Linked DNA regions of Diceros bicornis minor. The protein of the gene in region 4 purifies or fractionates together with the protein of the main gene of each other region. This does not show direct contact. Links are inferred from orthologs where the notes say so. Each region holds a gene or a part of one and is shown on either strand. Other genes may lie near its edges. The genes, in order: RASSF1, STK4, STK3 and MAP1S.

Region 1 (6,972 bases), on a different chromosome or scaffold from region 4:
GCTGGGGTCACAGGCAGGGTTCCTGCCTTCCCACCCCCTACCCCACCACTCTACCCCTCACGAGCCCCTGGGTGCGGGGCCTGGGTTGATTAGGGAGATAGTCCTAGAGAGATAGATCCTAGAACAGCCTAGGCTGCAAGGGGAGGGCCCAAGTTCTAAAGACATTCTTGAGGGGGCCTGCCCGGTGGCGTAGGGGTTAAGTTCGTGCATTCTGCTTTGGCGGCCCGGGGTTCACTCGTTCGGATCCTGGGTGCGGACATACTGCTCATCAAGCCATGCTGAGGCGGTGTCCCACATAGAAGAGCTACAACTCTACAACTATGACACACAACTATGTACTGGGGCTTCGGGGAGAAAAAAAGAAAAAGAGGAAGATTGGCAACAAATGTTAGCGCAGGGCCGATCTTCCTCAAAAAAAAAAAAATCTTAAAGGCATTCTTGAACAGACTGTAAGGCCAAAAGGGGCCACACTGAAGTGGGGGTGGGACTCGTGCATGGAAGGAGGCAGCTTTCCCAACGTGAGAGAGAGGGAGTTAGAAACCAGGGATTGGCTTGGCTAGAACATGAGCCAGGAGGTGACACCAGTAGATGACCTGAGATATCACCTGACAAAAGAGATCCTCTGCAAGTAAAAGGTGGAGCCCCCTACTGAGGGGTGGGGTAGGAATAGGGCACTGTGACGGGCCCTGAGTAAGGGTGAAGCCAAGGCACACAAGAGCCTTGGAAGGCCAGAGGATGGGGACAAGAGGGAAGGCATAAGCAGAAGAGCTGGCCTGAGAGGGACACCTGGATGGTGGAGGAGGGGACAAGGGCACAGGTACAGGGGAAACAAGGCAGCCTGGGGAATAAGGTAAGGGTCAGTCACAGGAAGCATGGAGGATGTCCCCACAGAGATGTCAGGGGCAGCTGGAAATGAAGGTCTAAGGTGCAGGAAAGAGGTTAGGAAGGTACTCATGGGGTCTGGGAGAGTGTAGGGGCCCAGGGGAGTTTGTTGAGAGCCGGGCTGGGCTGGGCTGAGCCAGAGATGGGAGGGTTGCCAGGCCAAGGTAGGCCTACCTCATCCCTGTCCTTTCCCTGCCCCTCAAAGATCCCAACGCTGGTGGAGGAGCTGATTGCAGTGGAGATGTGGAAGCAGAAGGTGTTCCCTGTGCTGTGCAGGCTAGAAGACTTCAAGCCCCAGAACACCTTTCCCATATACATAGTGGTGAGCTAGGTTCCTGGTTCACACCCCCACCCACCCCTTCAGAGAGCCCTGGATGACAGACGATAGCTGGTAGTCCTATCCCTCCCTCAGCAGCCCCGGTCCCTGTCATCTGTCTGACAGGTACACCATGAGGCCTCCATCATCAACCTCCTGGAGACAGTATTCTTCCACAAGGTGAGGCACCAGCCCTGCCCATAGGCTACTGCCCCAGGCCAGAGCCTGGGAGCAAGGGGGGTTGTGTCTGTACGGGAGGGAATCAGAGACAGAATGTTTCCCCTGCTCCTGCCTCCCAGAAGGTGTGTGAGTCAGCAGAGGACACCGTCTTGGACCTAGTGGACTACTGCCACCGCAAACTGACTCTGTTGGTGGCCCGGAGTGGCCATAGTGGCCCCCCTGAAGACAATGAGTCCCAGTACAGCACCCCTATGCAGGTGGGCTGAGGTTCCCTGGGGTTGGCATGGGCTAGACCTAGGCTCCCTGAGGCCTGAGCAGGCAGAGGGTGGCCCAACTTGAGCACCATGTGGCCCCCTAGGAGCTGCAGAAGCAGGCAGAGCTGATGGAATTTGAGATTGCACTGAAGGCCCTCTCAGTGCTACGCTACATCACAGACTGTGTGAACAGGTGGGCAGCCCTGCTGGGCCTGGGGCCTGCAGTGGAGAGCTGGGAGCCTGGGCCATAGCCTTTGCTCACCTCTCTCCACCCCCACCCTTAGCCTTTCCCTGAGCACCTTGAGCCGCATGCTCAGCACCCACAACCTGCCCTGCCTCCTGGTGGAACTGCTGGAGCACAGTCCCTGGAGCCGGAGGGAAGGAGGTAAGGTCCTCCTCCACCTGCCCCAGCTCACTGCTTCCAGGACATCCTCCAGGATTGATGAGAGTGGGCAGCTTACACAGGCAGACAAGCTCTGCCCGTAGCCCACAGAGGATACCAGGATGCCTCACCCAAGGTGGGTCTAGACCTGGGCTTGCAGCAGGCAAGGGCTGTGTGTCCACTACCAAGGAGTCACCCTGTTGTAGAGTGAGCAGCACTCCAACCTGGGCAAGTCCTGTGCCCAGGCAGTGGTCAGTCCCCCAGACCATGCAGCTGGTTCACTCGAAGTGTACGCAATGCCTGCACCCAGTGTGCTGGTTCCTCTCCCCAGGCAAGCTGCAGCAATTTGAGGGCGGCTGTTGGCAGACAGTGGCCCCCCCAGAGCAGCAAAAGTTGAGCAAGTTGGACGGGCAGGTGTGGATTGCCCTGTACAACCTGCTGCTAAGCCCCGAGGCCCGGGCCCGCTACTGCCTCACAAGCTTTGCCAAGGGACAGCTACTCAAGGTGGGGAACTCCTCCAACACCAGTCCCAGCACTGCCACACCCCACCCCACCCCTGCTGCTTATCTTTGCCCACTCGCCTCAGCCCCAGTCCTCTTTCCAGACCTTGAGCCTCAGGTGCCACAACAGCTACTGGGACATGAGCCCACAGGCACCCTCAGCCCAGCCCAGCCCTAGCCCTCTCTGTTCCTTGACCCTCTGGTCAGCATCACTTCACACTGGCCTCCCCTGGACACCCTTGCAGCTTCGGGCCTTCCTCACAGACACGCTGCTTGACCAGCTGCCCAATCTAGCAGACCTGCAGGGTTTCCTGGCCCACCTGGCCCTGGCTGAACCCCAGCCCCCTAAGAAGGACCTGGTGTTGGAACAGGTAAGCACTAGGAATTTAGTTGCTCAGAAGAAGTTAGTTGCCCACTTTGCCAGCTTCTCCCTGACACTCTCCAATTTTCTCCCTCAGATCCCAGAAATCTGGGAGCGCCTAGAGCAAGAGAACAGAGGCAAGTGGCAGGCTATTGCTAAGCACCAGCTGCGGCATGTATTCAGCCCCTCAGAGCAGGACCTGCGGCTGCAGGCACGAAGGTGAGGCCTGAGCTGGTAGAAGAGGTGGAAGAGATGCAGAAGGCCTGGACATGGGCAGGGGTGCTCCTGTGCTCCCACTGGCCAGGCCTAGCCAGGCTCTCCCGACCCTTTTTCTCAGGTGGGCTGAGACCTACAGGCTGGACGTGCTAGAGGCAGTAGCTCCAGAGCGGCCCCGCTGTGCCTACTGCAGCACAGAGGCCTCCAAACGCTGTTCACGATGCCAGAATGAGTGGTATTGCTGCAGGTGAGGGCATCCTAGGACCTTGGACCCCTAAGCCCCACTCCCATACCCCCCACAAGCACTGCATCCTCACCAGGCCACCTGCCTGCAGGGAGTGCCAAGTCAAGCACTGGGAGAAGCATAGAAAGGCTTGTGTCCGGACAGCCCAGGGTGACAGAGCCAAGTGAAGGCTGCAGCTGCTGAGGGACAACCACCCATGCGATACAACTCACCTTGAGTGTGCCCCTGAACCTAGGGATCTCAGCCCGGCCTCTGCCAGAGCCCCAGCCTCCCAGGTGGTGAACACAGCCCACAGGGTAGAGCTGCTGCCCCATCTCCCCCAGCAAAGCGCTGCCGGCTTCCTGCCCCACCCGGCGGGTAGGCTGAGGGCGCTGCCTCAGCAACCTAGGGCAGGAGGCCTGGGTGGAGGGCGAGGGCGAGGGCCGGATGTGGGGACCCTCTTCCTCTAGCACTGTAAAGCTGGCCTCCAGAAACATGCCTGTCTCCGAGTGGTCCTTTGCGGTCGTCGTCGTCGTTAGGGGAGGGGAGGAAAGGGAGGGCGGGGACTCTGGGAAAGGCCCCCACCCCGCCCTCCCACCCCACTCCGCCTGCGGGCGGACACAGTCCCGGCGCCCAGGTTTCCATTGCGCCGCTCTCCTCGGCGCTCTCCCGCCGCTGTGCCTGGATCGCTGACGCGGCGCCGCCTCGAGACCGTCCCACGGCCTCGCCCGCTCCGCGCTCGCTCGCGCCCAGAGCCGGCCGGAGTCCGGGCCCGACTGGGCCATGTCCGCTGAACCTGAGCTCATTGAGCTGCGGGAACTGGCACCCGAGAAGCGCGCCGGCCCGGGCCGCACCCGGCTGGAGCGCGCCAACGCGCTGCGCATCGCACCGGGCACAACGCGCAACCAAGCAAGGCAGCTGGTCCCGAGCCGCGGCCACCGCTTCCAGACCGCGGAGCCCGCCACGCACACGTGGTGCGACCTCTGCGGCGACTTCATCTGGGGCGTCGTGCGCAAGGGCCTGCAGTGCGCACGTGAGTAGCGGCCCCCGCGCGCTGGTGAAAGCGAAACGAGCGGCCAAGGGGCAGCACTGTCGCTGCGGGTCAAGTTGCGACGGAGGGGGCAGAAGCAGGGACGGGCCCCGCGAACCAGGTCCGTTATCTTTACCCCATCGCGGAAGTCTTTGGGCAGATGGTTTTATATCCTTGCCGTGCTCCATCTGCGTCTGGGGCACAGCTGGACAGAGGTGGTTGCCTGTGAATAACAAGGTGCAGATTTCAAGGTTCTTACCTTTAAAGTGCCTTTGCCCTTCTTGAGAAAGGCCTACCAGTCTCTGAGTCCATATTCCCAGGCCTGCTCCTTCCTGAAGATTCACTTACCTGTGTCCCCTCCAGAATCCTTGGGGTGAAGGGAATTTACCCACCTATGGGAGGGGTCCTGGAAAAAGAATCTTGGGTGGGCCCTCACAAGCAGGAATTTTGTTGTCTTCATTTAGCAAATACTTACTGCAGGCCCAGTCAACCAGGTGCTAAAACATGAAACACAGCCACACACCAGCAGTCCTTCTGCCCTCCCAGGAATCACCAGCAAGCAGAGGTTGCTCTCCCACTGGCTACACACCAGCTAGAATCACTTGGGATGCTTTTACAGCCCTCCAAACCCCTGTGCCTGGACCCTACCTTAGACCTGTTGAATCAAATCACTGAGTATATGAGTGTATCAGCGATTTTTAAACACAGATCATTCTAATGTGCAGCCTGGGTTGAGAATCATGTTCTGGCCCATGTAGGAGCTTTAGGGAAGGTATCCCAGGCCTGTGTGGGTATGGAGACTCTCTCGTCCAGCAGGGAGTCTGTCCTGAATTCTGGGAGGAGCACAGGAGTTGTGACAGAATACAAAGCATGAACAAGGACTGGGACATTGCAGTGTTCCCAAAGAGAAATAAAGTGGCCATGGAGATGAAAAACAGGACAATTTGGGTGTGTGTCAGGCAAAGACAAGGGAGGACTCAAGGATGAGCTGGGGTTTTTTGCCTTTTGTGTGTGTGTGTGTGAGGAGATCAGCCCTGTGCTAAGCTAACATCTGCCAATCCTCCTCTGTTTTTGCTGAGGAAGACTGGCCCTGGGCTAACATCCATGCCCATCTTCCTCCACTTTATATGGGACGCCGCCACAGCATGGCTTGCCAAGCAGTGCGTCAGTGTGTGCCGGGATCCGAACTGGCGAACACCAGGCCGCTACAGCGGAGCGCACGCACTTAACCACTTGCGCCACCGGGCCAGCCCAAGGGGTTTTTTGCCTTAAACAACTGGAATAATAGCAATTTTTGCTGAGATAAACTCTGGTAAGGGTAGGGTGAGGTGGAAGAAAAATGAGTTAAATTGTGACCATGTTGGGTTGAAATGTCTATTAGACATCCAAGTGAAGATACTGACACACAGATTTGACCTGAGGGGGGAGGTCAGTGATGGAAGCCTTGGATCCGGGGTAGGTGAGTGTACACAGCACAGGGCAGTGATCAGGACTGAGCCTCGGACACTCCACCATTAGATCTGGAAGTTGAGACAGAACCAAAGGAGCTGAGCAGGAGCTGCAGGGAGGTGGGAGGAAAAACTGGGAACCAAGGGGAGCAAGCATCAAACGATGCCCAGGACGTGAAGATGCAAAAGGGACGTGATTCGGCAGTGCAGTAGGTTGCTGAGGATCCGGAGCAGGGCAGTTGCCTGGAGGGAAGGGCAAGCCTGACTGGAACGGGTAGAGGAGAGAGTGAAGGCAAGGAATTAGAGTGTATGCAGACCAGTGTTGATAACTTTTGGCGTGAGGGGAGTAAGACAGATGACAACTAGAGGGGGACATGGGTTAAAGATGTTTGGTTTTTTCCCTTCAAGTACATGGGCGGAGAGGGGGGGGCTGACAATGCGGAAGGGGGAAGTTCTGCCCTAGGCGCTAGTGTTGAGCAGGCCTGGATCCCTAACCGCCTGAAGCCTTCCCGCCAGGTTCCAGACGCCAGGGAACCAACACTAGAATCTGTGTAGCAGTGGGCGGTAACGGGGCCTGAGATAAGGCCGGTCATGCAGAGCTTGGCGGGCAACGGCCTTCCCCCTGGGGCTTCTCTTCCGTCCCCGGGACACTTCTCCGAGCTGGAGCTGGGACTCCTCCACCTCACGGCCAGGCCTCTCTGCAGATTGCAAGTTCACCTGCCACTACCGCTGCCGCGCGCTCGTCCGCCTAGACTGCTGCGGGCCCCGGGACCTGGGCTGGGAACCGGCGCTGGAGCGGGACACAAACGTGGTGAGCGCGGGGCCGGGGGCGTATGGGCGAGGCAGGGACGCGTAGACGAGCAGGCCACACTGCAGGTGTTTCTAGGACCGCCCGGCATTACACGCAATGAGCGTTCTAATAGCGGATTTCCCTGCGGCAGAGAGTGGCTAACTCTGCGCGCGGGTTCGAAGGGGTGCCTGGGGTGCTGACTCCGCTCGAACTGCCCGGAATCTCCCAGGCGCCGCGCCCACGCAATTTCCGCACCTCTCCGCTTCCGGTCTTGTGGCCACGCTGGTGCACATGCGCATAAGCTCTGACTTGTCCCCTACGGGAGGTGGGTTAGCTGCAGCGAGGCGGAGCTGAGCTGAACGGCCTGGGCGATGAGATCATTCCTGCAGG
Region 2 (7,409 bases), on a different chromosome or scaffold from region 4:
CCTGGGAAGTGAGCCTGCAGGGTCAGTATCCTCCCTAAGATTTCTTAGGTGTGACATCAAAAGTATGATCCTTAAAAGGAAAAAAATGAATCAATTGGACTTAACAAACATTAAGAACTTCTGCTCTTTGAATGATGCTGTTAAAAGAATGAAAAGACAAGCCCCAGAAAATGTTTGTAAATCACGTATCTGATAAAGGACTTGCATCCAGAATATTTAAAAAAAACTCTAAAAACTCAATAATAAGAAAATAACCCAATTTTAAGAAAGGCAAAAGACTTGAAGAGATACTTTAAAAAAGAAAATAAACAGATGACAAGCACTTAAAAAGATGCTCAACATCATTAGTCATTAGGGAAATGCAAATTAAAACCACAATGAGATACCACTACACACCTATCAGAATGGCTAAAATTACAAACACTGATCATATCAAGCATAGGTGAGGAGGACAACTAGAATTCTCATACACCGTTGGTGGAAATGTCAAATGGTACAATCACCTTGGAAAACAGTCTCTTAATACATCAACATATGTCTTCCATATGACCCAGCTATTTCTCGCCTGCGTATTTACCCAAAAGAAATGAAACGTCCTTTTGTATGTATGTATGCCTATATGTATATCCACACAAAGACTTGTACACAAATGATCATAACTGTTTTATTTGTAATAACCAAAACCTAGAAAATAATTACTGTTATAAACCACTGGGCTTTGGGATGGTTTGGTACATGGTGATAGCTAACAGATACACCTAACCGATTTCTAGTAATTTTTTGTATCTTTACACGGCCCATATTCAACCTGACTCTGGCTACCTTGCCTACCTCACCTCCTACTTTTCTCTTCCTTATTCACTCTGCTCCAAGCACACCAACTTCTTGCTGCTCTTCTAATGTAAGCCTTTGCCCTTGCTGTTTCCTTCTGCCTTAAACATTCTCTTTAAATATGAGTGTGGGGGGCCGGCCCGGTGGCGCAAGCTGTTAAGTGTGCTCGCTCCGCTGCAGTGGCCCAGGGTTCGCTGGTTCGGATCCCGGGCGCCCATCGACGCACCGCTTGTCAAGTCACGCTGTGGTGGCGTCCCATATAAAGTAGAGGAAGATGGGCATGGATGTTAGCCCAGGGCCAGTCTTCCTCAGCAAAAAAAAAAAAAAAAAGAGGAGGATTGGCAGACGTTAGCTCAGGGCTGATCTTCCTCAGAAAAATAAATAAATAAATATGAGTGTGACTTATTCTTTCACTTCAGTCACATCTCTGCTCAAATATCACCTCCTCAGAAAGGCTTTCCCTAATCACTGATCTAAATTACTCCCCATCCCACTTTCCACACTCTTACATTAATTTCTTCTCATATAATTTTTAATACCAGACATTTTATATATTTATATAGTTTGTTTATTTACTGTCTATCTTTCCCACTTGAATGTGACACACATGAGGGCACAAACTTATCTCTTTTGCTCATTGCCTGGCACTTAGTACAGTGCTTGGGCCACAGCAGATACACAATATATACGTGTTGAATGAATGAATGATTGTCCCAGCTGTCTCAGAGCTGTCTCGATCTTACTAGACTTCGTTAGGTTCTCACATTATAGTTTTCTATCATGATTTATCACTACATTAATCAATTATCTGCCTAATAACTATCTTTTCTACTACACTATAAGTTGCAAAAAAGGTAGGACTCATATATGTCTCAAATATTCTTGTATACGCAGAGAATCACACGGTGCCAGCCCATGGAGCTCACAGAGTGTTGAATGAATGGAGCACGAGTAACCCTGCTCATTGGTTCTCTCTCTTAAGCTATTAGCATATTATGGTTGGCTGAGGCTTGCTATTTAAATTTAAATTAATTAAATAAAATTTTAAAATTCAATTTTTCAGTCACACTAGCCCCATTTAAAGTGCTCAACAGCCACATGTGGCTAGTGGCTACTGTTTCGACAGCACATATGTAGAACATTTCCACCATTGCAGGAATTTCTATGGGCCAGTGCTGCACCGGACGTTCTGTGGAAAAAGAGGGCAATCCTAATGTCAGTCTATCTTCTGGAAAAATCCTGGGAAGGGACAAAGGAGGGATGTTTGACAATGTGTATTGGCAAATTGACATTTATTTTTAAAAATGTTTATTGAGTACTTACTCATCTATGGGGATGAGTGTGTGGGCATAATGGAAGCTTCCACACAGAACTGCCCCTCAAGGAGGAAGAAATCCAGTGGGCAGCAGGGCCCGAACATAAGGTAAAACGTTGAGTGTGCTTTGGGAGAAGAACAGGAAAAGTGCGAGGGGATTTCAGAGGACAGAGGTTGACTTCTTGCAGGAGGGACCCATATGGCTTCCTGAACTTTGTAGAAATTCTTCTTGATCTTTACTTCCTCAGGGCTCCCACTGCCACTTGTACAGATTGCTGATAGAGCAAAATGGCAAATAAAATATGGATTTTGTGGAGTCAGGACAGTCTTGGGTTAAAACCTTCGCTCTCACTAGCCGTGTATACGTGAGTCTCTGCTTCCTCACCTGAGGAACTGGGACTAATAATTCTTACTTCATAGAGTTGTTTTGAAAATTAAGTGATAGTCTAGGATTGTGCCTGGCACACAGTAGATTCTCAGTAAATGTTTTCCTTCCGTGTCTGGGGAATGGCTCTATTATCCCATTTTTAGCACACGGGGTGCCATACCTGGGTGGCCCTGAAAGGTGGCTGCTCAGGTGTTAAGTTTCATAGATGGCATACCTTTGGGAAAAGCAGGACAATTAAAAACAGTGAGTGGTTGCTCTGGGTACATTTGCTCCTGTAACTTTCCCCGTGGGTAAGTTGGGTGGAATCTGCCATTTTCCTAGCACTCATTGATGGTGGTGGCAAGTGGGGATTTAACCATAGCCATAGCTGGAACTGGAGCTCTGAGTGGAGAGGGAGCTCTGACTCTGACGCCCAGAGAGAGAGTATACATCAGTGGCTGTCCAGTTTAAGGTGCAGGCTCTAGAATCAGACGGACCTGGATTTAAATCCCTAAACCTATTCTTTTAGCTCTGTGATCTTCACTTCCCTGGCCTTATAAAATGAGAGTATTGATAGTACTTATCTTATAAGGTTGTTAGGAGTATTAAATGAGTTAATAGTAGTAAAGCACTGAGAATGTGGTATAGCAGAGGAAGAACTATTCCTGTACTCTCTAGGTTCTTCTGGCTGATCTAAGAATTAAATTGACATGAGACAGAATAACAGGAGAAAATGAAACAAATTTAATAACATGTATACCTGGGAGAAACCCAGGAAAACTGAGTAACTCTCCAAAATGGCAGAAGCTGCTACCTTAAATACCATCTTCAGCTAAGAACAAAGGAGGACGTTGGGGTTATTGGTTTTGGACTTCAAAGGGGAGGAAGGCAATTTACATGGAGATGGAAAACCAAATGTTTGGTTAACAAATGTTGACCATGCCTTGCAAAGACAATGAGAGATGAGGACTTTGATTAAAAGGCCCTTGTTAGGTTCCTCCCTGTTTATCAAACCTAGTTTATATTATTCTATGGTTATCTTATGGTATTAGCTCCTTCCTGGAACAGGCTTTCTATCTTAAATTCTTTTAGGCAGTTAGAAGGAAGGTGAAGTTTCCTTCCAAGTCTTTTGTTCTTAAAAATAATCAAGCCAAAGAGACACATTTTTGGGGTGGCAAATTCTGATCCCCCACAGTGGTAAGCACAGTTTGTCAGATAATCAACACATAAAATTGGGGATAACCATACCTGCTTGATGTGAGGATTAAATGAAACAATATATGAAAGCAAATACATGGCAAGAGCTTAATAAATAACATGTACACCTGGTTTCTCCCAGGTATACACGTCTCCAAACTGACTCAAAGGAGAGGCTGTTAAGGAAGAGGGTGGGGCAATTTGCAGGCTGATGCCCTGTGACAGCCAAGAAGGTATGCGCGGTCCAGTCTCCATCTGGAACAAGAATTCTACCAGGTAAGAATGGTAGAAAACCACAAATACTTCCAGGAGGCCCTGGGGGTGACAGCGATTCCCAGGAATCGCGTAGAACTTGGCTTGTTAAGAATCAATAGTTTTTATCAAGCTGGCGCTTCGCAAGAAGCCTCAGTATCTCAGTCTAAGAAATAAGGGGCCGGACTGAGGCAGACATGCGTTCCCGGTGTGGGGACCGAGCGGCTTGGGCGAACAGCATGTCAAGCAGAGCGTCAAGCCTGGCTGAGGACTCCAGGCAACAGTCTCCTCCGCTCCGGGCTTCCGGTCCGCGCCCCGCTGCACCACGTGACCCAGGCCCGGTCCTTGTGGCCCCGCCCCGCGCCGCGCGGCTTCCGGTAGGGGCGGAAAGCGGAAGTGTGGGAGGGTCTGCGGGGCGTGCTCGGGTAGGTCCCCGGGGAGGATGGGGCAGTGAGCGGGCTTGGGCGGCTGCTGGCAGCGCCATGGAGACGGTGCAGCTGAGGAACCCGCCGCGCCGGTGAGGGGCCACTGGCTAACGGGAGGGGGGTCGGGGGGAAGGAAAGGCGGGAACTGACGGAGGGGGGACACCCGTTGTCGAGCCCCCGAGGGGAGGGACCTGCGGGGCGAGGCGACCCGGTGATGGGGCACCTGCTGAGTGGGGGACATCTGGCGGCTGGGGGTCCGGGAGAGAGAGGCACGCGCCGAGGGGGATAAACGTGGGGCTGGTTAGGGAGAGCACTTGCTGTAGGGGGACGTCCTGGGGGACTGCTGAAGGGAGCAGCTGCTGAGGAACGTGGCGACAAGTTAGGGAGAGCACCTGCTGAGGGCTGGGGCCGCTGGGGGAAGGCTGTCCTAGAAGGGACTCACTGAGGCGGGGGGAATGCTGAAGCAGGATGGGAACCTATGAGGGGTCTGTCTAAGGGATGGGTCGGGGACAAGCTGAGAGGAAGGCTGGGTGGACTTCGTAAGGACGGGGTCCCACCTGAGGGGTGCTGTTGGGGAGGATCTGCTGGGGGAAAAGCTTTGCTCCAAAAGCTGAAGGTGTGCCAAGAAAGGTTGCCGGTCTAGCAAGGGAGGGAGGGCTTCCTGGAGGACAGCATTTAGGAAGATGTCCTTGGTAGTGTCCCCACTCTAGGATGATGATGGCATCTGTCATTCCTTAAGTCCAGTGCCTTCTTAATTTTCCTCACATCCTCCTCAGCCCTTTAAACCCACCATTGCGGGGTAGATGAGGAAATAAGGATTTTTTTCAAGTTGGGGAAATTGAGGCCCCGAAGAGTTGAGACACAGACCCCTGTGTTTCCTTCTTTGCTCTAGACTGGGTCACTGGACCAGGCCAGACTGTGCCCTTTTCAGGCCTCTATTGTTTTGTGAGTATCAGCTCCAGATCCTACTGATACCTGGAATTGTTTTAAGTCCAGATCAGGGAGGTGGCTGATCCTAGAAGGTCTGTACTCCTGATTTGGTCGCAGTTGCATCATTGATTTGCTCTACGGACCCCCAGGGTCTTATGTCACTCTGCCACATCTGGAGAAAAAGAGAGTAGAGATGGAGGCAGTCATGCTTCTCTGAGGTGCAGTGTAGTTAGCTTCTATTTCACAGAGGCCTCTGACTTCCTGCAGCAGAAGGAGCGCTAAAGTAGGAAGTGTTCAGTGGGTGGGAGTGCGGGGCAATGGAGAGGTGAAGGGAAGAGACTGGCAGCCTGGGCTGCACACTTGGGGTTTGTTTGAAGCGCACAAGCACTGCAGAAGGCAGATAGCTGGTTGGTATGAACTCATAATTCACGCTAGTGTAGTGTGCTGAGACTGAAATAGTAATAATGATTATTACCCTCATCTAGCACTTACTGGGTGCCGGACACTGTTCTCAGTGCTTTCTGTTGAACCATGTGAAAATGCCGATATTTGACCATTTTTGATCTGTAAAAATGGTAATTTTGTGTGGTTCAACTTACTATTGACTCATTTGATCCTCACAACAATCCTGTGAAGTGGTTACCCCTATATCTCTATTCTACAGGTGATAAAACTGAGGCACAAAGAGGTTAGTGATTTGCCGGAGGTCCCACAGTTAGTAAGTGGTGGAGCTGGGATTTTAATCCAAGCAGTCTAGTCCGAAGCCACGCTCTTAACTGTCTCACTCTGATGCCTCTCTGGAAGTACCCGTGTTTCACAGGGCCTTGCGTGCATTAGCAGATATTTGCTATCACACCGTGGCGATCCACTTATAAATGTACACTGATTATATTTCTTTCTGAAATATGTTTGTTCTTTCTCCTCGGGCTTGGTTTAATTGGAAAGAGCATTAGGGATCTGAGTTTTGTTGCTGTCTTTGCCTCGTGTTGTATAATCTTGGGCAAAAGAGTAAACCTTTTTGCTTTTTGACACATTCATTCCTGTACCTTTTGGGTTTTAAAAAAATTTATTAAATGTGCAAGAGAAGAGCATTGCAAGACAGTTCTTGAATGACTGGTGCTTTCCTGTTCATCATAACTAATTTGCATCATAACTCATTTGCCTAATTTGCAGCAGATTAACTTTATTATCATTTGTATTAGTTTGTTAGGACTGCCATGTCAGTGTCACAGACTGGGTGACTTAAACAACAGAAATTTATTTTCTCACCGTTCTGGAGGCTACAAGTCCGAGATCAAGATGTCGGCATGGTTGTTTCTTTTGAGGCCTCTCTCCTTGGCTTGTAGGTGGCTGTCTCCTTCCTGTGTCTTCACATGGTCTTCCCCCTGTACCGGTCTGTGTCCTCATCTCCTCTTATAAGGACACCAGTCGTTTTGGATTAGGCCTCACCCATATGACCTCATTTTACCTTAATTACTTCTTTAAAGCCCCTATCTCCAAATATAATCACATTCTGAGGTACTGGGGGCTAGGACTTCAGCATATGAATTGGGAGGGGCACATTGATTTTATCATCATTACAAAAACTTCATCAGTTTGTCTTACGTATTTGTTGTAAATAGAATCAAATTCTATTTGGAGGGAGGGATAGGTATACATAAATAAAATGAGCCTGACATGAGTTCTAAAATGGGAGAAAGAGATTTGATAATTAGCCAAACCTATGAGTAACTACTTCATAAAAAGTCTTGTTTGTGTTTGGAAAGATACAAATGTCTTTTCAGAGATTCAGATGGCCTGTGTTTCCAACAAGGAATAGCAATCCCAATGCAGGAAATGCTCTTTGTGTTCATGAGTTTAACATTTGTGTGTGACTCCTACGTATGGCTTATGTAGGAGTTTATGATTTTAAAAAATGAGTTGCCATTAGATAATAATAGTGTAGTGGAAGGTGTAGAGTACATTTCTGGGATGCTGGCCATCCACGTGGCCATCTGACTTAGAAGAGGAGCATCCACCGGTATTTGGTCCATGCAGGCTGTGTTGGCCAGGCCTGTGTGTTTATGAGCAAGCAGTGAAACGAACTACCTAG
Region 3 (6,845 bases), on a different chromosome or scaffold from region 4:
CTAGGCTTCTTGTTTTAAAAATCATTTTGAGGTATTACTTGTAGTTAACTGATATGCTAGACTTTTGAGATGATAAATATGAATAAGATACTGTCCTTATTCCCAAGAGGCTTACAGTTTGGTCAGAGAAACAAATAAGCGAAACAGAAGTTTAGGATTGCTCTGAGAAAACAGGATAGTGTTTGAATTCAAATGCAACATGCTAGTTCCAAGCTAACTATAAAATTAAGCCAGAAAAGAGAAACAGATCAAGGGAAAACATTTTGTAAAGTTGCCTCTTGAAAGGAAATAATTCTGAATTTCCCTGCAAATAAAAAGTTACATAATGTAATATATTCTCTTTTCCCCAAACTCTTCCTCGTAATAGTAGAAAAGATAAGCAGTTGTTAATTAGTATTATTTTTCAAATAAATATGAGAAAAAAGAGTAATACAAACTTGCAGTTTCAATAAGTAGCAGCAACTAGTATAATAAGGAAAAAAATTTTTCTTACCTTAATATTTTTCTACTCATAAAACATGGTGGTATTTATTCAGTGACAACAAATGCAGTTTTGTTATTCTAAGGAACTGGGTCCCAAATTGCAGATTTCTCTCACATTTCTCTCAGAGCACGCAGTTGAGAATTCTGGTGAGCTGTTTGCTAGTATAATTAAAGTGCATACTTAACCTCCATTCCAGTTGGAACGGTTGGAAGCAGAAACAGATTATCCTGCTTTCACAGTTACGTGAAGCTGAGTGACTCTTACCTGTATCTCAGATTTTCCTATAGCTCTCAATTGTTCATGAATGCTGCTGCCTGTTGTTTGCAGGTTGAATGATGATTTCTATGCTTTCCTTCTTGGAATCTTCAGGCTAGCTTTCCACAGACAAATTGAAACAGAGACTTCAGGCTAATTTTTCTTTTCTGAGTAATTCAGTAAAAAAACAATTCCTTTCATTCAGTAACACATGACACACCAGGCACGATTGCCTCCGGCCTCAGCACTTCTTGTTCCTTGGTCTCAGTCTCCTCCCGTAGCCATGGGCATGGCTCTCCCCCACTTCCTCAGTCACCCTCTCACTGAGGCCTGCCCTGGCCACCCTATCTAAGTTTCATCCCTTCCCTTCCACTTCATATTCCCCTTCCCCAATTTATTTTTCTTCCTTACCAGTTTTCAGCACTAACATTATTGATTAGGTGCTTATTTACCTTATGTTTCCTCGACCAGAATGTAAATCTTATGAGAACAGGAATTTTTGTCTATTTGTCTATTCACTGATGAATCCTCAGCACCTAGAACAGTGCCTAGTATGCATAAGGGCTCAGTAAATATTTATTGACTGACTTACAGTGGGACAAGGCTTGGCTTTGGAAGTATAAAGGCCTGGGTTAGAATGCAGATTTTCTATTTGGCCTAGGGTTACTCTCTTCATCTCTTTGAACCTCAGTTTCTTTTTACCTATAAAATGGAAATAACTACCTAACAAGGTAGATTTAAGGGTTTGATGAGACAATGTAGCCAAGTATTTGACCTTATTGGAGTCATACAACCATTGTTAGCCGTCTCCCTTTTCAGACTGAGTGAAGACCTCAAAGGTTTATTTTCTGATATTATTCCTCCTCCTCCACAAACTTTCTTTATGGGTAACTATGTCAGGGTTCCATTAGGAAAAGTTTTTGAAGGTACACTCAAATTAGGGTCATTTGAGGAGGGTTGAGGTCTAGGGGAACATAGGGAATAGAGGAGGAATCTGGGGATTGGCAGACCAGTCACTACCCATAGGCCCACAGGGAGGAGAGGAAGCAAGAAGAGTTGGGCCCTAGACAACCTCACAGGAAGGGAACCAGGGGAATAAATAGCCTTATACTCCATTCTCCCTCAGATGATCTCCTGTTGGTCTCCCTATCATCAGACCCAACTATAAGCCAGAGAGCTGGGACTCCAAGGATGTCAGCTATACAGGTCAGCCCCTAGGGCAGAGAGCAGATGGAAAAGGATGGAGAGTGAATCTGGGGGGTGCAAAAGGAAGCTATCCAGCTTACTATGTGTAAGGCACTTGCTATGCAAGAGATAGAGAGAATAATGACCTGGTCTACTTCTCAACAAACTCACAGCTGGGTTGGAATGACAGTCAAATAAACAGAACTTCAATCAACTGTGATAAGTATCATGCAAAAGCCAGCACAGTGTGTTATGGGCACGTATAAGAAAGGCATCTCTTTCACAACTTCAGTGTCAAAGGTAGCGGGGTGGTGGTGCTGGTGATTTGACTGGGAAATGCTTCGTGGAGACTGAGGTTGGTAACATAATTCAGCATCCATTTTAAAGTATGTCTATTTGAGCCCATTTAAAAATATGGCAATTTTTTAAAAAGATGAAATTACCCTCTCTGAAAGAGATTTTTCTGATGAAATACAAGAATACGGGACTACGGCGTGGAAGTGAGGATGAGAGTGAGGGACAGATGAAACAATTTCAAATGTTCTTCCTAGCTTTAACATCTTAATGGTTTAGTTTTTTGTTGTCCTGTTACTTCTGAACTGTTAGACTGTAGATCTTTAATAAATCTAAATGAGTATAAAATTTTGTAATAATCTCTCTTGTTTACAGACTTTGACTAGGTTTCAACGATGAATGGTCTTAACGAATTTAACGTAACTAAATTTAGGGGGGAATATAATGGTTTGAAAATAAATCATGTAAATTTATTACATAGTGAAACAATGCAAAAAGAGGAATAACTGTTAATAGACAAGTTTAATTTGGGTTAATGTTCATAAAATTCCTTTATTCAACATTCTCTCCATATTCTTTGTTCTTATCTCTGAGAAAACTCTATATGACTCTACATCTTGATAAATTTCTAACAAAAACAAGCAAACTCATTACCTAGCAGCTGTATATGGTCATAAGCAAGATATCTATATATGGAATTTAAGGTAAAATGGCATATGCACAATATAGACACATGAAGGGGTCAAACGGCAATGGGGTAAGGGCCTTGGGAACAGGTTGGAGGGAGAGGGTGGCAAGAGAGAAGAAAACACATTTTTTTTGAGTGCTTTCCTATGCACTTTAATTTGCGATAGGTTTGCCGGGTTACCCAATTGAACAGCCGGCAAGACCACAGTGCACTGAATTTGGTGCACTGGGAGATCTCACTGCAGTAATTATTTTCTTTGTAATTAGATGTAATTATTGTGAAATGTATTGAGGAGCTTGTTCACAATCAACATCAAACAAGAATTTCCAGAAGTATCCCTGGTACTGTAGCTACAAATGTCAAATGGCTAGGAGAGAACATAACCAGTAATTACAAACAGAACTAGAGAGGGAAGCGTGGGCAGTTAGTAATACTTCAAACGGCTGTACAAGATGTTTGGGATGTATCCTTGAGAAAGCTAAAGAAATGAGTCAAATAGTATTGGGGTAAAAGCAATGAAGGCAACTGAGGGGCAGTAGCTCTAGGATAGCGCAAAGGAACAAGTCCCTGACCAGCACACAGCGGCTCTCGGTCCTGACTCGGCCTCGTCCTCTGGCTCTTCCAGTCTCCCCTCCTTATTTCCCCTCGCTGCACTACCGCCGGCCTCTCCCTCCGCCCCCGACTCCGCCTCCTCCCCAGCGCCTGGCTCCGCCCACCACGCCTGCACCGAGGCCTTTTCCGCCCACCCTCTCTGGACCGCCGCCGGCTCCGCCCCCCCCCCCCCCCGCGCCTGGCTCCGCCCACCCTTCCTGGACCCGGGCGGGCGGCGGAGGGGCGGGGCGCGCCGGGAGGAGCCGCGCTCCGGAGAGGGGTGGGGATCCGCTGCAGAGTTACGGGAAAGTTGGTCCGAGTTCCTGGAGTTTCCCTCTCTGGTTCCCCTGGCTCGGCCGGCCGGTGCCTCGGCCCCTTTCCTCCCACCGGCCTTTGCCGCCCACCAGGTCGCTCCTTCAGCCCCCTGGCCGCCATGGAGCAGCCGCCGGCGCCCAAAAGGTAAAGAACGCGGGGAGCGGGGAGAAGGAGGGAGGCGGCGCCGGCGGCCGCGGGGCAGGGGCGGCTAGGCCGGGCCGGACCGCGACCCCCTCCCCGGCTGCGGGGCCCCGAGGCGGGCGCGCCGAGAGTCGGGAGGCGGGTCCGAGTGCCGGCCGCGTCTGTCCACGGGGCGAGGGGGCCCGAGGGGAGGCCGAGCTCGCCTCCCCCGCGGCCGGCCGGGCCTGGTGCGCGTGGAGCGTCGGTGGGCAGCGCCGGGCTCCCCGCGGCCGGACTCTTGGGCGGGCAGTTTTCCCTTGTGGCAAGTTCACGAAGCCTGGGAGACGTAAACCTAGGAAATTATTGGGCTTCTTACAACTATGTTGGTTTTCTTCTCAAATGATTTTCATAATATTGCCTTTTTTGAGAAGGCGGATTGTTTATTTACAGTTTAAGGAATTAAATATTAATAGCTACACAGTCTGTAAACTTATTGTGAATATGTTGCGCTGACAGGTGTGCCTTCCCCTCCCTCAAGTTCAAAAGTATTTATGGATGCAAGACAGTAGGATTCTTAAATTAGAACCCCTCCCCCATATAGCTTTTTTTTTCTTTTAGCATGTAAAAATAGTGATGCTTTGGTATTTACTCTTAGTTTGGATTTAATCTTCGATATATTGGAAATGTCAGAGTACACCGTAGATACATTTGAACTAATATTTGAAGTGAGCTAAATCTAGGCTCTCCATTGATATGTGTTCATAATGTGCATCCCCCCCGCCCCCCCCCCGAAGAATGAATCAACTAACTGATGTTGGGTAAAACATCTAACCTCAGCCTTTCATTTTTAGTTTATAAAATAAGGGTACTAATCTCTCTCCCAGATAATGCTGTTGTGAAGTTTAAAGAGTTCTTGTTTTGATACCTAGAGATCTTTAGATGAAAGGTGGTGTATTCAAGAACACGAAATAATTTAAAAGGTAGGAACTTTGTGTGCTATTGTGAATTGTGTCACCAGACATGTGAGCCTCGAGGCCTGGAAACCATCTGTTCAGGTGCAAAAAGGGGAGTCGTGGAGAATTTTCTAAAAGATACCTGCTATCAGACAGACCCCTTGATAGATTTTTTTCTGACATTTCGTAAAGTGTCTGAATTCTCGTATTGACTGGGCACCCAGTTTTAATACTATAGAAGAAAATTGGAAACCTTTTTTTTTCTTTTCTGTTTTGGAAGGATTGTAAGGGGGCATCTCTGAGATAGTGCCATAAGGCCAATCTGAACAGCTCTGAATTGAAGTAGAAGCTCTCTCTATTGATTAGCTCTACTCTGAGCTATCAGAGTTTCATTATAGGTGTAAGAGAACCCCTGCCCTTGCGGGGACGTTAGAGAACCTGGAGGGGTCAGGGGGAGGCGTGGGTGGTGTATATCACCATTCTGTGGTGACTTATACTTTTCAAAATGGTGCTTGCACAGTTAACAGACTTATTTTTAGCTCTCTTCAGAGAGATTTATGTTGATCCAGGAAAGCATTTCTGAAGAGCAAAAGATATGTGACATTAATCCTTTATTTTTTAATATCTCTTAATATTTTTTCATAGTATTTTCATAATATCATTTAATCCTTCATAACATCATTTAATTCAATACTGTATTGAGTAGGTTGGATTACGGGCATTAATCTTGTTTTGTAGTTGAGGATGCTAAGTGAGTTTGCCACCTGGAAGGCTATGACTGGGATTACTCACAGTAATTTTTGTGTTGTCCCTATTGATCATTACCTTCTAATAATAAAATATAGCTACCATTTTTGAGGTCCTCCTGTTTGCCAGGAACTTTATATATACATTCCTTTATTTTAATGTCTTGAGAAATAGGAATCCTGGCTCTGCAATTTTCTGTGCTAAGTACTAAATTAAATTTTAATTCTTAATCTGTAAAATGTATTGTGAGGGTTAAATGAGGTCATGTGTTAAAAGCACTTAGCACAATGCTCCATAATGTGTCCAGTAATGTTAGTTGTTAGTTTATGTTTTCCTTATTAAATGAAGCTCAGAGAGGTCAAATAACTTGGTGAAGTGGAGGAGGTGCCAGAACTCTGGGTCTGATTGGCTGCAAAGGCTGTGAACCCTCTCATTGTGTACAGTGATGCCTCTTTTTCAAACACTCGCTTGCTTCCTTTGCGTTCCATGATGTGGTTGTCGTCTGTTTCTACAGTCTTCTGGTTCCCTTTGCTTGTTCTCTTCCTAATCCGTGTAAGAATGCCACTTTGCTTTTCTGCCTTGAGTAGCACTTCCTGAGGGCTCAGACATTTTTATGTGGCGATATTTATGTTGCTGATGTTCAACTCTGTATGACCAGCAGCTGCTGCTCAGTTGATATTTTTGATTTTTTCGTGTAAATCCACTCTTTTTTTGTGTGTGAGGAAGGTTAGCCCTGAGCTAAGCTAACATCCGATGCCAGTCCTCCTATTTTTGCTGAGGAAGATTGGCCCTGGGCTCACATCCATGCCCATCTCCCTCTACTTTATATGGGATGCCTCCACAGCATGGCTTGACAGGCAGTGCGTCGATCTGTGCCCGGGATCCAAACCTGCAAACCCCAGGCCGCCAGAGCGGAGCGCGTGCACTTAACTGCTGTGACACTGGGCCGACCCCTGCAAATCCACTGTTTCATTATCCCATCTAGTTTATCATTAGATCCTGTCAAATTTTCCATGAAAAAGTCTGTGGATTCATTTTTTTTTCCCATTTCATTTCCAATACAGAACTACTACCCCATTCCAGGGTTTTATGACCCTCACACTTGATTTACAGCAGTGCCTTCCAACTGGGCACTTTAGTCCAGTGGTTTTCAAAAATTTTTAACAGCGGAAACATTTTAACAGCAGAAAGGCTCTGTTTGGAGTAGGCGCCG
Region 4 (7,580 bases):
CATCTGTGGCCAGCTCTTCCTCCTCTAGACTGGGGTCTCCTTGGGGACCAGGACTGAGACGTCTCAGGATCTCAGCAGCGCCCAGCACGAGAAAGTTGTCAGGAAGTGTTTACTGGATGGACGAATGGACAAAGGACTGAAGGAAGGAGCACCTGTGGCAGGGCCTGGAGTCAGATGCCCACGGGTACCGGACACTGAATCTGTCCCTTGACCTCTCCGAACCTCACTTTCCCATTTATTAAATGTCTTTACTCAGAGCCTGTGCCCCCAAGAGGTTGCAAGGATGAAAGGAACTACCACATAAAGCATATGGCCCTCGGGGACCTCAGGCTCCGTCCCATCCCAGACGGGGAGTGATTCAAACCCAGCACCAGCAGCCTTGCTCCCTTCCCAGCACCCAGAGCAAGAGTGCTGTTAACACACGTGCTTCAGGGATATTGATGAACAGGGTTGGTGAGCTGGGCGGGAGAAGGAGGGAGAAAAGGCAAATATTTTCTTTCTTTTGCTGAGGAAGATTAGTCCTGAGCTAACGTCTGTGCCAGTCTTCCTCTATTTTGTATGTGGGTCACCACCACAGCATGGCTTGCAATGAGTGGTGTAGGTCTGTGCCAGGGATCTGAACCCAGGCCGCTGAAGCGGAGAGCATTAGGCCATGGGGCCGGCCCCCAAAAGGCAAATACTAAAATGGCTGAGGGCCAGCTCCATGGCTTAGCGGTTAAGTGCACACGCTCCGCTACTAGCGGCCTGGGTTCGGATCCCGGGTGCGCACCGACACACCGCTTCTCCGGCCATGCTGAGGCGGCGTCCCACGTACAGCAACTAGAAGGATGTGCAACTATGACATACAACTATCTGCTGGGGCTTTGGGGGGAAAAATAAATAAATAAAATTATTAAAAATATAAATAAATAAAACGGCTGAAACTTAAGTGTTGCTGAGGACATGGGGTGGCACGGCCTCTCTCTGAAGCCGCTGGGAAAACAGCCTTAGCCCATGACGCAGCCATTCCACCCCTAGGCATTTACTGGGGGAGAAAGGGGTGTATTGATCAAAAGACATGTACAGAAAGGCTCCAAACAGCTTTATCCAGGAGAGCCGAAAACAGGAACAACCCACGTATATGCCAACAGGTGAAATGAACAAATAAAGAAAAATTGGTACCCAGTGGTTATAATAAGAAAAAAAGCCAAAAAGTTTGCAAGGATGTGGGATATTGGAACCCTCACTCACTGCCAGCGGCAATGTAAGATGGTGCAGCTGCTGTGGAACAGAGTCTGGCAGTTCCTCAAGAAGCTAAACATAGAGTTACCACACCACCCGGCAACTCCACTCCTCTGTAGAGACCCAAGACACCTGAAAGCTAGCACCCAACAAAACTTGTGCATTGATGTTCACAGCAGCGACGAGCGGGAAACAGCCCAGACGTCTGCTGACGGACGACCGGCCGAACACGATGTGCTCCACGCACACAAAGGAAAGAAGTGCCCATATCTGACAACGTGGACGAGCCTGGAACACGTTATGCTGAGTGGAGGAAGCCAGACAGAAATGGCCACATAGTGTATGGAATGTCTGGAACAGGCAAATCCACAGGGACAGAAAATAGATTAGTGGCTGCCAGGGGCTGGAGGGAGGGAGGATGGGGAGTGACTGCTCATGGGCATGGGGTCTCCTTTTAAGGGGATGGAAGTGTTCTGGAACTAGATATTAGTGAGGGGGCTGCACGGCGTTGTGAATGTACTAAATGTCACTGACATACACTTTGAAATGGTTAAAATGATGTTACATATTATACGTATTTTACCACAATATAAAAAGAAGAAGTGGTACCCAGGAATACTACACAGCCATGAAGAGGAGCAAACGTCTGCCCTTGACCACAACACGAGAAGCAAGAGAAGCGAGATGTGGGAGTGGACACCTGTGTGATCCCATTTATATGAAGTTCAAAACCAGACAAAAACTCGCCTGTAGTGACAGAGGTCAGGGTGGTGGTTGCCTTGCGGGAGGGGAGACTCAACTGGAGGGTCCAAGAACTGCGAGGGGCTAGGAATGTCCTAGATCCTGACCCGAGGGTCATCACCCTCATCAACCTTCACACCTGACGTTTGTGAACTTGACCATGCCCATGTCAAACCTCAACAAAAACATTGAAAAGAGAAAATAATTACCAGGGAAAGACGATGAGAGCATTTGGCAGTCCTGAAGGCCGAGGGTTCCATTTTCTCCACAAATGCCATTGCCTGACCCCTCTGGGGACTGTCACCCTTGAAACAGGCATGGAGTTGGGTGTGGACAAAGGCCGGAGGGCAGCGACCTGAGTCTGGTGCCTGGGATTTCAGAAATGGTCTCTAGATCTTCTTCATCTCTGGGGAGATGCTCTCCACACTCCCCACACCAGGGACCCCAGCCTGGGGGACACTATGGGACAGGAAAGCCTCAGGCCTCCAGAACGCTCAGAACATTGGCCCCCAGAAGCCTAAGTAGGGACCCTTCTCCCCAATCGGACCTCCTGGTGGAGACACATCTTGACACCCCAGGGCCCTATAAGACCAACTGGAATGAATACCAACAATCATAACTCACAGCTTTGGGCAGAGGAAGATCATGGACTTCATTCGGAAGGTCCTGGGTTCAAGTCCCAACCCAATCATTAAATACACATGAAGGAATAAATGAATGAATGAATAGTGGACAAATGAGCTTTCCACCCCCATTCTAGGAGTCTTTATCATGCACTTCCCAGATGCCCAGCCTTGTCCTGCAAAAGGCCAGGGCCCCAGAGAGGCCTCAGCTGGGTCTGGCCTTCAACAAGCTCCCATCCTGGTGGGGGAGAATGAGCCCCTGTCATTACTGCTCAGAGCAGGGATAGATGAGATCATAGGCAGCCAGGACACAGGGAAGGGAGCCAAGGGGGAGGGGCCAGGGTAGAGGAAGGATGCCAGTGCCAAAGAAAGAGCGGAAGTGGAGAGCCGGAGCCTTAGACAGCACGTGGCCAGCGACTGTTACACAGTGACCAGGGAGGAAGCTGGGCTTGAACAAACCAGATAATGAAGAGTAGGGGAGGCTGATCTTTCTTCAGACCTTTTCATTTCTGTCTTGATTTCCTTTGTATACCTCCAGAGACGGGGAGCTCACTCTCATGGGAGACAGCCCAGTCCTTCTTGGGCATGGGCAACTGTCAAAAAGTTTGATGCAACATGATTTTTCAAGTAGTGGGTGCCATGGGTAAAAGGGCTGGATGAGATTGTTTGCGGAGGGAAGGGTACCCATGTGGGCCAGGCAGTCAGTCCCTGCCACAGGCTGGATCTGAAATCAGACCCACCTGGGTGTTGTTGACTACAAACACAGGTTCGTTACCTGATGTACAGGAAGGCCAATTAACCCAAACATCAGGCTTGTGGCAGGGAAAGAATTTTATTATCAAAAGGCAGCCAGATGAGGAGATAGGAGAGGAGATGGGAGTTAAAACTCAAGTTCACCTCCTCAAAGGGAAAAAGGTAGGAGTTTGTATCTGGGGTTGTAGGTGGGGGAGAAGGAGCACGTGCTGGGGTTTTAGGGAGGGAGGGAGTGTATGCCTTGCTGGCTGGCATCTTCAGACTGGGTTTGTTCTTGAAGACTGAGTCTCTTTTTTCCTTGACCATCTGGACTTCTCCGGCTACTGTTCATCCTTGGCCTGCGTTGGGCCTTGCGAGGCTAAACCTCCATTTTCTTCTTGACTCTGGACTTTGTCTGGGAAAGACAGCTCACTCAGATACTAAGGAGGCACAGAAAGACCTGGATGGTTTTGAACAACAGTTGATTATGCTGAGTATGCACAGCTGTAGTTAGCAAAGCTTATCTCAAATTTTTTTTCTTTTCTTCTAGCCCAGGGAAGATTTTTTAACTACTTTGTTCTCAGTTTCATGGGTTTGAATCTCTGCTCTACCACTTGTGGGCCTGGTGACTTCATCTCATCAAACCTTAGTTTCATCTCCATTCCTTTGAAATGACTGTAATAACAGTGCCTACTTCATAGGTTTGTGCATGTATTCAATGAGCTAATGGAGTAAAATGCCTGGCACACAGTAGGTGCACAATAAGTGTGTTGCCTTGCTCTAGGCCCAGAGTGCTCCAGGATGTGTCCCAAACACACATGTACTTTCCTATCTGTAAAATTTTGCACGTGCTCTAACTTCTGCCTCACACACTCTTGCCCCACCACCCACACCTGGCAAACTCCTACACATCCCTCAAACCCCTAGCTGCAAGATACCTTTCTTTTCTCTGTTCAAGCCCTGACCTAGGGGGCTGGGAGCACCTGGGCCTGGCTCTGATTGCCCCACTGTGATGGATGTGGGCAGGGATTGTGATTGGCTCGTGGTAGGCGTGCGGTCAAGCTTGTTGAAGGAATGAATGGTCATTTGGAAGAGGGGCCCAAAGCAGAGACTCAACAGTCCCCCAATCGCTTCGGCGCCCGCGTCCCCAGTTCCCAAGAGCTCACAGGAGCCGGCAGGGGGCAGAGGAGGGCGAGGAGGGGCTTCCGGGCGGGGTCCTCAGCCCTTCCGGTCCGGCCCTTTAAGGGGCGGGGCCCGCGGGCGGTGCTCGGCGCGCGAAGATGGCGGCGGCTGTGGGTCGCGGGGTGGCGGGGCCCCCGAGCTCGCTGCTGCTGGTGGTGGGCGGCGAGTGCGGGTGCCCGGGGCTGCTGGCCTACGTGCTGGAGGAGCTCGAGCGAGGTCGGGCCGGCCGGGGCCGGGGCCGGGGGGGGGCTCGGGCGGGCTGCTCGGCTCCACTGGCGGCCGGCCGGGGAGGGCCCCGGGCCCGGCTTTGGGACCCGCGCGCTAGGGCAACACGGGCGACGCCTCCGCTTCCCGCCCGCCGGGCCCGCCGCGGGAAGGCGGGGGTCGCCTCGAAATCCTCGGGTTCTGGCAGCCTGGACCTGCGGGAGGGAGGAGCAGGGCTGGGGAGGCCGGCCTGCAGCCCCGGGGCCCACTTTCCGTTCCTCTGGAGGAGCGGCTAATCGGGTGTGGGCGGGCGCGGCCTGCCCGGGGATCTGGCGCCCGAGGTGGTGAGTCACAGGTGCACTTGCGAGGTCCACCTGCAGCGGCCAGGCGCGGTGGGCCTGGCGGGCGTGGGGCACGCGCACCGCGGGCGGAGAGCCTTCGTCCCCCGTCGCAGATGGGCGGGGCCTGCGGTCCAGCGCCTGTAAAATCACCTGGTGGCAGCACACCTTCGGTTCACCTGCTTGGGGGATGTTGCCCCGCAGGGCATAGGGCTAGGGTGGGGACCCAGGCGGGCGGTGGACCCAGCGCGAGTGAGGAGATGCCACAAGTTTTAAGCTCGCGTGGTGCAGGAATGCGCGGAAGGATGCAACGGACTGAGTGGAGGCCGGTCTCGGCACCTGAAGGGGGTCTGGGGGAAGGGCCTCCTGGCGGTGGGAACAGCTGGTGCAAAGGAACGGAGGGGGCTGGAGGAGCAGTGAGGCCAGTGGTGGGGTGGAGGGGACAAGCTGACCGTCAGGAGCCGGGGCTTTCTTGCTGCCGTCCTGAGTCTTCTCTGTAAAGCGCCGGCGTACGCTTCGGGTTCCTGCATGCAGACAACAGTGAGATCACCAGCACTTGGGCAGTTCTGAGTCTCCAGGCTGTCTCGGGCTGGGGTGGACCCCACCTGCCAGGTGCCAGTCATTGAAACATTCTGGGAGCTGGGGAGCCCAGCTGATTTCCTGCCCCGCTCCTCCAGGCATCCGGTCCTGGGACGTTGACCCTGGCGTCTGCAGCCTTGAGGAGCAGCTCAAGGTCTTCGTGTCCCGGCACTCTGCTACCTTCTCCAGCATCGTGAAAGGTGAGGCTGGGCACCCCGCGTGCCCCTGCTGCTCCACTTACACTCATCACTGAGCAGGTGTTCTGCCTGTGCCGGGCCGGGGGTTGGCCACGGCTGTAAACAACAGCGGGAATCGTACAGCTGAGCTCTGCCGAATGCGGAGCAGGGGCGGGCCCTGACCCAGCGCCCACCTCCTCAGTCCACAACAGCCCACAAGCGCAGGAGCTTGTGGTTTTGTCCCCATTTTACAGATGAGGCAGATGAGGTTTGGGGGTCAGGGAGACCACTGAGGAGGGGGGCTTTTTGGATGAGAAGCAGCTGGGGCTGATGCAGCGGGTGGAGGGAGGGCTCAGACACAGGAACAGGACATTTGGAAAGTGAGAGGCTGCTGAGGGGCCTGGGGGTGGGGTGTGTGCCCCGTGTGGCAGGGACCATGTCTGGTTCGTGGCTGTGACCCCTGCACAGGGCCAGTGCACAGTAGGTGCTCGAATAGATGGGAAGCTGAGAAAGGAGCAAGGTCGAGGAGGGTTGAGGGTGCCTGGGCCAGCTGCACGTGGCCCATGGCTCCCTAGGGATTCTGGGGTGAGCCGGGTGAAGAGAGCCCCGTGTCGGCTGCAGCCCCCACCTCCTGCCTTGGCCAGCCTGTTGAGTCACCTCCCTGCTGCTGCAGGAGGGGAAGGAAGTGTCCGTCACCTCATTGTCCCAGTGGTTCTGGGTGGCTTCCTGAGCCCTCACAGGATGGGGGGCTGGAAATCCCATTTGCTCCGTGTCACCTTGGCGGTCACTGCCCCCTCCATGTTTTGGTTTCCCCACCTGTGAGGGGCAGTGTCTGCCTGTGACGAGATGTGTGTATAAACTGATGAAGGCTGTCAGCCCGGGAGGTCCTTGCCTCTAGCCCCAGGGCCTGCTGCTCCGTATGTGAAACACGTCTGGGCTCTGGGGCCAGCCCAGGGTTCGGGTCCCAGAATCAACCCCACTCGCCTCTCCGGGGTCCGTGAGGCCTCTCCGCGCTCGGCTCCCTCATGCCGCCCCCGTTCCACCCCCACCGCCACCTCCTCATCCTCAGACACGCTGGGCTCCGGCCTGCCTCAGGGCTGTGCTCTCTTCCTGGTGTGCCCTCATTGGCCCTGCTTGGGCCCAGGCTCCTCGCCTATAAAATGGGGGTGGCGATGGCCTCCCCCACGGGGCTGATAGCTGCAAGCAGTGGAGGCCTTGGTGTCACTGCTGTGTCCAGCGTGTGGCCTGCCAAGGCGGGTTTCCTGTTCTTGCCTCATCCTGGCCTGTAGCTCTGCCATGTGCCTGTTGATCCCCAGATAACCCCCTGGCCGGGGTTCCCCGGGAAATGGAGCCTTGGAGGGGCTTGTGGCTGCCTGGGGTCACTCAAGGAGGCAGGGTTTGACCCGAGATAGCCTGACCCCAAGCTCACAGGGCCGGATTCCCCCCCAAGGCCAGCGGAGCCTGCACCACCGTGGAGACGCCCTGGAGACCCTGGTCCTCCTGAACCCGTCAGACAAGTCGCTGTGTGACGAGGTAGGGAAGGGGCAGCCCCCGTCGTCACCGCCTGTGTCCCTGACTTTGTGCTGCCTAAAATCCTCTTCTCAACACCCAGCAGCAGCACCTTCTCCCTCAGGAAGTCTCCACTTATTCCCTCCTCAGGAGTGATGATGAGAGTGGATGGGCTCGGGAAAGGCTGGAGTTTGGGAGGAAGGAATGGGCTAGGGAAGGTCTGGAGGGGGAAGGCAGGACTGACCGATGTTTGCATCGAGTGCCTTTCCTCTGGC

Evidence for each region.
Region 1: the proteins of MAP1S (region 4) and RASSF1 purify together in Homo sapiens (affinity purification with mass spectrometry; 4 studies listed by BioGRID and IntAct, counting the BioPlex papers as one, with this or other methods). This does not show direct contact. The link is inferred for Diceros bicornis minor from reciprocal best matches to the Homo sapiens genes MAP1S and RASSF1.
Region 2: the proteins of MAP1S (region 4) and STK4 purify together in Homo sapiens (affinity purification with mass spectrometry; 3 studies listed by BioGRID and IntAct, with this or other methods). This does not show direct contact. The link is inferred for Diceros bicornis minor from reciprocal best matches to the Homo sapiens genes MAP1S and STK4.
Region 3: the proteins of MAP1S (region 4) and STK3 purify together in Homo sapiens (affinity purification with mass spectrometry; 3 studies listed by BioGRID and IntAct, with this or other methods). This does not show direct contact. The link is inferred for Diceros bicornis minor from reciprocal best matches to the Homo sapiens genes MAP1S and STK3.

What each region holds. Positions count from the first base shown.
Region 1 is NC_080741.1:51,362,788-51,369,759, reverse strand, and holds the start of RASSF1 (ras association domain-containing protein 1), read left to right. Parts: upstream 1-3,956; 5' UTR 3,957-4,097; coding exon 4,098-4,347; intron 4,348-6,496; coding exon 6,497-6,603; intron 6,604-6,611; exon of another isoform or gene 6,612-6,972. Other genes in the region: ZMYND10 (zinc finger MYND domain-containing protein 10), read left to right, coding at 1,088-1,204, 1,325-1,378, 1,498-1,635, 1,737-1,825, 1,917-2,017, 2,346-2,518, 2,619-2,885, 2,973-3,094 and 2 more. UniProt on the Homo sapiens protein: Potential tumor suppressor. Required for death receptor-dependent apoptosis. Mediates activation of STK3/MST2 and STK4/MST1 during Fas-induced apoptosis by preventing their dephosphorylation.
Region 2 is NC_080758.1:16,216,482-16,223,890, reverse strand, and holds the start of STK4 (serine/threonine-protein kinase 4), read left to right. Parts: upstream 1-4,391; 5' UTR 4,392-4,444; coding exon 4,445-4,479; intron 4,480-7,409. UniProt on the Homo sapiens protein: Stress-activated, pro-apoptotic kinase which, following caspase-cleavage, enters the nucleus and induces chromatin condensation followed by internucleosomal DNA fragmentation.
Region 3 is NC_080760.1:17,574,516-17,581,360, reverse strand, and holds the start of STK3 (serine/threonine-protein kinase 3), read left to right. Parts: upstream 1-3,833; 5' UTR 3,834-3,930; coding exon 3,931-3,956; intron 3,957-6,845. UniProt on the Homo sapiens protein: Stress-activated, pro-apoptotic kinase which, following caspase-cleavage, enters the nucleus and induces chromatin condensation followed by internucleosomal DNA fragmentation.
Region 4 is NC_080759.1:5,556,431-5,564,010, forward strand, and holds the start of MAP1S (microtubule-associated protein 1S), read left to right. Parts: upstream 1-4,580; 5' UTR 4,581-4,597; coding exon 4,598-4,715; intron 4,716-5,718; coding exon 5,719-5,820; intron 5,821-7,246; coding exon 7,247-7,329; intron 7,330-7,580. UniProt on the Homo sapiens protein: Microtubule-associated protein that mediates aggregation of mitochondria resulting in cell death and genomic destruction (MAGD). Plays a role in anchoring the microtubule organizing center to the centrosomes. Binds to DNA. Plays a role in apoptosis.